2 linked regions of the Chlamydomonas reinhardtii genome follow. The protein of the gene in region 2 binds, or shares a complex with, the protein of the main gene of each other region. Links are inferred from orthologs where the notes say so. Each region holds a gene or a part of one and is shown on either strand. Other genes may lie near its edges.

Region 1 (4,177 bases), on a different chromosome or scaffold from region 2:
TGCTCGTGTTCCGGTCCAGCGGGCCGCCGGCACTCACCATCTGGCGGCCTGTGCCGCCGCCCGGGTACGCGGTGGCTGGGTGCGTGGCTTGGCCGGCGATCGAGGAGCCGCCGCCAGGGCTGGTGGCGTGCGTGCGGGCAGACTGTGTGGCGCCGGTGTCGTTCTCGGGCGCGCGGTCGCCGATTTGGAGCGGCGCGAGCCCGGAGCACCCCTCGTGGCGCTGTGCGCTTTGGCCGGTGGTGACGGAGGGTGGCGGCGGCGGCGACGGGTCGGGCGCCTTTGTGGCGATACGCGGCGGCGACAACCAGCCGCTCACGCCGCCGCCGGGCCTGATGCTACGGCTGCTGGTGTAGCTGCCTTTAAGAAATGCGTGATAACAATTTGTTGTGAATTGTATGTGGTTTGAATTTGAGCCTCGATGGTTGACGTGATCGGCCGGGCAGTTACTGCGCCGTGTGGTTTGTAGGAGCCAGTGCGGGAGAAATGTACCGTAACACGCAAAAGATGGCTTGTCATTGTCACCGCCTCAGGACTCTGAACCGCTGTGAAGCATGTGGACGATTGTAATTGTGGGCGGACGGTGCCAGCTGCGCTATGCCGACTCCTCCGTGCTAGAGGTGCGCGGCAGCCAGGGGAGCAGCGGTACAGTAGCTGTTGTTGTGTGTGGTTACAAGGTGGTGAGCACGACGTGCATTAAAAGCTGATCGGCTATGGTCGGAGCCGCCCTACCCCTGATTACCTGCCGACCTTCGCAACCGTACATTGGTCTCGAGCACTGCGCCACAAGTAGAAGCCAAGCCACAGCCCGCCCTGATGCAAGGCAGGTAGCGAGGCTCCTGCGGCGCGCCAGGCACGCCGAGGGGAGTAGGAGGGTGGGAGGGATGTCTGGGCGAGCCATCCAGGGCATCGGGGTCGGAGACGCATCCAGCCGGCGCGGGCATCCAGCATAGCCCAGCCACATAACCTGCCTACCTGGGGGCGACCCGACCGGGCCATCCAACAGTCCCCGCCGAGCCATCCGGTTGTCCCGCCCAGGCATCCAGCAGTGCTGGGCCGGCCCGCTAGGGAACTGCAACAGTGCTTGGAAACGGGTAGTCCCAACCACGCTAAAACAGCCAATCCCCAAAATTCCCACACTAGCTTTCATTTCTCCTCCTGGGGAGTACGCCTGTTCCCCACGTCCTCTTCCATACTTTGGCGCGCCTTCACCGGAGAGACCCACAAATCTACGGAGGCCTGTATGAGACGTACTATTCAGGAGCGTCAGGCGCCGACAACCATGGATATCAATGACTTCGGATAACCTGGGATGGGAGCTCCGAGATGGGGTACGTGTCGTGCACCTGGCTTGCCCTGGTCACCTTCTTTTATATTCGTGTATCGTTATAAGCCGACGAGTCTGGGAAAACAACAGAAATTAAGGGCTCCAGGCCGCCTTTAGACCAAGCGCCGGGCGAAAATGGGGCGAGACCTCCCGCAGCGGACAACGCGCGGCCGGCGCATGGCCGCGCAGTTAGACGAGGAGGAGGACGCTGCCGATAACGATTTCTGGAACCAGGAATTCTTCAAGGAAGAGGCAGTCGATGACGATTACAAGACCGAGTCCGAGCCTGAGGACATTATCGATTCTGACTTCGACGAGGAAGAGGTGAGCATTTGAATATACCAAGACCTTGTGCATGCACAGAAGGACGCGCAGCCGGGATCGTTCGACCTAATGGCTGCGCCCCTTGCTCAAATTTGCAGGAGGCAGAAAACGATGATGAGGTGGAGGTTCGGGATGACGAACCGCGGTGAGTGGGGCGCAAAGGACAGCGGCACCCCTGCGCTGACTCGTTGTTTCCGTGCCTGCTGCGCTGCCCCCGACCCACCGCCTGATCGCGATATCCCTGCCCTCGTGCCCTGCCCTTGGCCCGTTGCGCAGGAAGAAAATGATGAAGCCGCCGGGTCGACCCCCAAAGCCCAAGGCAAAGCCGAAGCCCAAGGTCAAGAAGGAGGAGAGCGAGGGTGACGAGGAGGACGAGGAGGCAGGTGACGAGGACGACGAGGGCGAGGATGGCAACACGCGGCCAGCCAAGAAGCCTAAGATCCCGCGGGAGCCGATCATCTACATCGCACCTACACTGCGCCGGTCCACCGTGGCCAAGGTGGCTGAGGCGGAGATCGAGCGGCAGTACAAAGCCAAGGTGAGTGGGAGGTAGGGCCCGGTGTGCCGGGGTCGGTTAGGCGGGGCGCGGCTTCACAAGCTTTCAGCTTCCCAGCAACAAGCCAGGGGGGGAAGAGGCTCGACCGCCGGCTCCGCCGGCTCTGTTTGCGCAACTGCCCATTTCCCGTGCTTCTTGCGGCACAGGCGCTCTGACACACCCCACCCTTCCCTCTCATCCTGTGCAATCCCGCAGCCCGCTCGAAAGCCGCGCGCCAAGAACAACTCGGACTGGCGGCCGCTCACTCAGCAGGAGCTGCTGGCAGAGGCGGCGCTGAACGAGATTGAGAACACTCGGTGAGGCCGGTGGATCTCGAGAGCCGGAGAGCACCCAGCCCGCACCTGGGCTAGCTAGACCGTCGCGCGTGGCCCTGCACTTGCGCCGCTGGACCGCATCCATCCACCCCTCATGACTCGCGCCTTGTTGTCTGGTCTGTTTCTCTTCTTCCTGCCATCGCGTTTTTAATTAATCCTCATGCATTCCCTACAACTCCTCTTTTGGCCCAACCCCCAGGTCGCTGAAGATGCTCTTAGCCCGCGAGGAGGAGACCAAGCGCAAGGCGCAGGTGGTCAAGAAGAAGAACAGTGGGCCCAGCGTCAAGTGGCGGTCGCGCAAGGGCGCGGACGGCGAGGAGCACGTGAGTCGATGTCGGGCAGGGGCGGAGGGATCCGAGGGCAGGGGACAGAGGCAGCGGGTGTGGGTGGTCGGGGAGCGGGAGGATCGCTGGAAGGACACGACATGACCACGCATGCAAGGGGAAGGGATGCATGCCGTCGCACCACTGACGGGCCAGAGGGCAGCGCTAGCACTGGCTGTGTCTCCGGCGATGAAGAAGCACAGGATCCTGAGACTCGTTCGCTGAGGATCAAACTTTTTTCCCTTTCGTCTGAGCCGAGGCCAGCCAATGAAGTCATGCATGCCTTCGCACGATCATTTGCAAGCGTACACAAGCATGCTCACGCTCTCAGGCATGCGAACCACACCAACATGCATCGTGGCATGTCGCGTTGCACTTATGGTTGGTGCCTGCGCGGTGGGCAGATCACACTGGCGGATGATGACATTTTCCAAACAGCTTGATAGTAGATCCCGAGCGGCTTCGGCCCGTTGATGACAAGTTTGGGTTTTTGTGACGCCACTCTGCTCGCCTTCCTGGCACTGCACGTATCACGCACGAGCACACCCACGATGGCGTGAAACGTTCGTGAGACACGCATGAGACAAAGAAGAAGCACAGGACCTGAGATTCACCTCTGTGAGGATCAAACTTTTTTCCCTTTCGTCTGAGTCTCATTAGCGTTACCCACAAAGCGTGTCGGGGTTCGGGATCTCCGCTTCCCAGGGCACATTATCCGAGACCAAGAAGAAGCACAGGACCTGAGATTCACCTCTGTGAGGATCAAACTTTTTCCCTTTCGTCTGAGTCTCATTAGCGTACCCGCCAAGCGTGTTGGTTTGGATGCACTCAGTTTGTTACATCTACATTATTCGAGACCAAGAAGAAGCACAGGACCTGAGATTCACCTCTGTGAGGATCAAACTTTTTCCCTTTCGTCTGAGTCTCACCCCTTCTTCCCTCCCTCCCTCCTGCACCTCCACACAGACGACGCTGGAGCTTGTGAACGCCATCGTGCCGCCGCGCTGGATGCAGCCTAGCCGTGCGCCGCCGCCGCCCCACCCGCCCATCTGCTTCGTGACTGGCCTGCCGGCGCGCTACGTGGACCCGCAGACGCGCAGCCATCTCGCCAACACGCTGGCCTTCAAGCGGCTGCGGGGCGGCGCGGGGCCCTTGGCGCCGGCGCTGCAGCAGCAGCTGGTGTTGCACCACCACATGGAGCAGGTAGGCTGCGGGTGACGATGGGTGTGGAGGAGGTAGGGATTGAGTAGCGGGGATTTGTTTGGGCCCTGAGTTGGAACGCCAGGCGACTCGGCGCGGGTTAGCATGGAACTGCCCGTGCGGTAGGAAGCATGCC
Region 2 (3,950 bases):
GAGGGGGAAGGGAGGGGGCGTGTGTGTGTGTGTGGGGGGGGGGATTACATTCATAATTATTTAAGAAGTGAAGGCATAGCCAGGTACAGTAGCGTGGAGGGGGGAGGTGGTGGTTGGGGTGGCGTGGTGGGGGGTGGTGAGCTGGGTGGGTTGGCACGTGGGCGGTGGGTGGTGAGGTGGGGAGCGTGAGGGCGAGGGAGTGGGTTGGGACTCGTGCAGAGGTTGGGGCGAGCGTGTCCGCTCAGGTGCGGCAAGGCAAAACACCGGTGCAGCGGTTGAACACCATCCTGCAATAAGCCGACCTCCCTCACCACCCGCCCTTACCCCCACCACACCCTCAACCCCACGCCCGCATCCCCCTCGGTCATACACCCCTCCACTCCCCCTCCCCCTTCCCCTCCCACCCCGCCCCACCCCGCCCCCACCTGGCCCTTGAAGAAGGGCACGGCGTGTGTGAAGCTGAAGCCGCAGTCCACCACCACGCCCGCGCCCGTGCGCGCCGCCGCGCTGCCGGCCCCCAGCACCGCCGCCGCCCGGTGCATGGCGAACACGGGGCCGGGCGCGGCGTAGAAGGAGCGGAATCCAAGGTCCTCAAACACCACCTGGGCGGGCGGGTGCGGGGGGAGAGGCGGGTGAGGGGAGAGGCGGGTGGGGGGAGAGGCGGGTGAGGGGAGAGGCGGGTGGGGGGAGAGGCGGGTGGGGTGGTGTGTGGTGTGTGGTAGTGGCGGTAGGGGGGTGAGCAGAGTGCCTCCCTCCTCCTGTTCGTCTCCCTCCTTGCCTTCATCTCGTCCTCCTCCTGCTCCTCCTCCTGCTCCTCCTGCTCCTCCTCCTGCTCCTCCTGCTCCTCCTCCTGCTCCTCCGCCATCCCCAGTTCCTACAGTCCTACCCCACTGCCCCCACCCCCATCTCCTCCACCCCACCCACCCGCCCACCCACACCGCCTCCGCCCAACCCCACCCACCCACCCACCGCCTCCACCTGCTGTGTGCCCGCCCGGATCACCTCCACCCCCTCCACCCAGCCTCCACCTCCACCCACCCCACACCCCCGCCCCGCACCTGCTGTGTGCCTGCCCGTATCTCCTCGAAGTTGAACAGCGGCTCCGACAGCAGCAGCCCGCACTCGGCAGGGTTGCGCCGCAGCACCGCCCGCACGCCGCGGGCCCACACGTCGCGCTGCAGCTCCAGGTGGCAGCAGTAGCCGCGGTCGAAGGGGCGGCGCAGCTGCAGCTGGGACACCTGCGCGGCGGCGTGGGCGGACGGAGGGTGCGTGTGTGTGTGTGTGTGTGTTAAGGGTGTGTGCATGTGTGTGTATGCGTGTGTGTGTGTGTGTGTGTGTGTGTGTGTGTGTGTGTGTGTGTGTGTGTTGGAGGGAGCGTGTGTGTGTGTGTGTGTGTTGAAGGGGGCGTGTGGGGGTGCATGTGTGTGCGTGTGTGTTGAAGGGGGCGTGTGTGTGTGTGTGAATGTGAGGTGAGGTGGGGTGAGGTGCGTGCGGGGGTGCGGCAATGGGAGAGTGGGAGACGCCATCGGCACCACCACGAATCTGCCCATGCGGGCCCATGAGGTCGCCACATGTGTGCTCTGTATGTCCCTCGCACCCGGCATCCCCACCTCTCTTCCCGCGCCTTCGCCCACGTTGTGCCCCCAGTCCCCCGCCATCCCCGCGCTCCCCTTCTACCCTGCTTTTTACACGGCGTGCCTCCCTCCCTCCCCGCCCTCCCTTCCCTCCCAGTCCCTCCCTTCCCTCCTCCCCTCCCTCCCTCCCCTCCCTCGTTTTTCCGTCCCTCCTTCTCCCTCCATCGCCCGTCCCTCCTTCTCCCCCCCCAAACCCCTTCCCTCATACACCGCCCTCCTCCCCCTCCCACCTCCTTGCTGTCCGCCAGCTGGTCGGCGATGAGTGTCTGGCGCTCGCCCTTGGGCTTGGCGGAGGCGTTGGGGAACACGCTGTGCGGCGTGCAAAGGGGGGGGGAGGAGGGGGAGGAGGAGGGGGAGGTAGGGGGAGGCAGGGGCACAGGGGGCGGGGCGGGTGTGTGGGTGATAGGCAGTGAGGAGCGAAGCGATAGAGCAATGGAGCATCGGTTGCGGACGAGATCAGTTGTTTGAAAAGCGGGGGCAATATTCAGTAGCCCCTACAGCCTCAGCAGCCGCAACACAAACCCCTGGGCGTGGTGCTCTTGCAGACCCTGACAACACCACACCACACACGTGCACACACAAACACACGTGTAGGCTGACTGCGGGCATCAGTGCTCCCACAAGCCGCCAACATCTTCCTTTTTGCACAGCTATAGAAACATGCAAACGCACCATGCCCACTACGGCACGCAACCAAACCGCTGATTGCCACGCCCTCCCTACCGCAGGGCGCCCTAACCGCAGGACCCACCGTGTGGGTGCCGCCTGTCCCGCAATGCCAATCTTGCAGTTGCCGCCGCCATTGTCGATGGCTACCACCGGCACCGCCGCCATCGCCGAGCACCGGGCGGCTCCGGAGCGGAGGGAGAGGCCTCCCGCTGCTCAGGGTGCGGGCTGGTGTTGGACCCCTAGGGGCCGGCTGCCCGTTTGGAGCCGGCCGGCAAGCGCCTTTAGGCCCCTGGAACCAAACAACTATAATATTACCAGGCTTTCGCTCGAGAGCTCACGGCTGAGCCATTTGCGCCCACTGTTTGCCGGCCGCTGTTCTCCTGAAGAGTCTTGCAATTCTGTTAATTCACATATCAATAATATCGTAAAATCTAATCATGCAATCAAGCGGCAATGAATTCTGGGCTTGTATCGTGCAAATGGAACTGAGTTATGAGGCGAACTACATAAACTGCTCTAAGGCTATTGTATTTACAAGGCGTACACACACTGGGCTTCTAGTTCAGTTTGCAGCTGTCAAGTTTGCCGATCTGGCCGTAATGCACGCTGCCCCTCGCCCTCCCTCGCTGCCAGAACTGACGCATTCGCTTGGCACCATAGATGCGTGCCGCACGTTACCATTCCGAACAATGCGGCACATATATGAGCACGCTGTGAGGGAGTTGCCTGCGGTCACCGTGTCACCGTGTATGCAGGGGGGTTATGAGACTGAAGGAGGGGGCGGGGGGAAAGGGGGCCACGCCCGCCATCACCAGCGCCCACAAGGCCTCCATGAGAAGCTCAGCTGTCAGGGACACACGGTGTGTTAGTTCCGACAGCATACAATCTTAAGTCCTTAGGGGAACTCGAGGGCGGTCTCAGTGTGAACTCTGATCGCTGTTAGTACACGCGTACTCCAAGCACAATCGCGTCGCCGACAGACAGAGCGCCAAACTCATATATGCGAGCTGATTTCCTTACATGTAGCTGCCACATTTGTCTTTTTATCTTGCCGCGTGTGTTTGGACTTCGACGGGCCAAAATCCTGCTTTTCTATCGAGCTTGACCTCATTAAAACTGCAATACATCACAACTTGAGGCCAAAATGGATATGTTATAGGTCGAAGTTTTGAAGCAAGCGCGCAGACAAGATGGGATGCAGCGCCAGTGTAGCCCGGCCGAATGATGAAAAGGCAAGTGCACCTGCGACCAGTAGCCTGTGTATCCGTTTTCACACCGATAAACCAGGCACAGCCTGGGCGCCGCTGCGCTCAGAAGCCTTCCAAAATGTGAGCGCATGACATGCCCTAAGCCATTTGCCTGTCTCCCATGCCGTTTGCGCAGTCGGCGCCGATCTCTGCGCAAAAGGACGCCGGCGTGGGCGCGGGCGCCGGCGGCAAGCCGGGCGCCGGCGCCAAGGCGGGCTGGTCGGGTGGTGGTGGCAAGGCCGGCGCGGCCGGCGCCGGTGCTGCCGCCCCCAACGCCACGCCGGCCGAGGAGACGGAGGAGCAGTGGCTGGCCGCCGACGCCGGCGGCATCCCCGTGCCGCTGCAGCTGCCGCCGCACCTGCCGCGCGGGCTGCGAAAGTTCTGGTCGGACTGCTTTTCC

What was found.
Region 1: CHLRE_08g382590v5 (region 2) and CHLRE_17g728200v5 share a complex: the UniProt entries of both Arabidopsis thaliana proteins name them as parts of the SWR1 chromatin-remodeling complex. The link is inferred for Chlamydomonas reinhardtii from reciprocal best matches to the Arabidopsis thaliana genes ARP6 and SWC2.

Annotation. Positions count from the first base shown.
Region 1 is NC_057020.1:3,853,930-3,858,106, reverse strand, and holds the start of CHLRE_17g728200v5 (uncharacterized protein), read left to right. Parts: upstream 1-1,377; 5' UTR 1,378-1,459; coding exon 1,460-1,648; intron 1,649-1,746; coding exon 1,747-1,793; intron 1,794-1,924; coding exon 1,925-2,186; intron 2,187-2,399; coding exon 2,400-2,500; intron 2,501-2,717; coding exon 2,718-2,841; intron 2,842-3,807; coding exon 3,808-4,044; intron 4,045-4,177. Other genes in the region: CHLRE_17g728250v5 (uncharacterized protein), read left to right, coding at 1-353. UniProt on the Arabidopsis thaliana protein: Component of the SWR1 complex which mediates the ATP-dependent exchange of histone H2A for the H2A variant H2A.F/Z leading to transcriptional regulation of selected genes (e.g. FLC) by chromatin remodeling.
Region 2 is NC_057011.1:4,509,997-4,513,946, forward strand, and holds the start of CHLRE_08g382590v5 (uncharacterized protein), read right to left. Parts: upstream 2,801-3,950; 5' UTR 2,469-2,800; coding exon 2,386-2,468; intron 1,944-2,385; coding exon 1,865-1,943; intron 1,239-1,864; coding exon 1,059-1,238; intron 603-1,058; coding exon 426-602; intron 1-425. Other genes in the region: CHLRE_08g382605v5 (uncharacterized protein), read left to right, coding at 3,494-3,535, 3,687-3,950. UniProt on the Arabidopsis thaliana protein: Component of the SWR1 complex which mediates the ATP-dependent exchange of histone H2A for the H2A variant H2A.F/Z leading to transcriptional regulation of selected genes (e.g. FLC) by chromatin remodeling. Binds to the promoter region of FLC chromatin.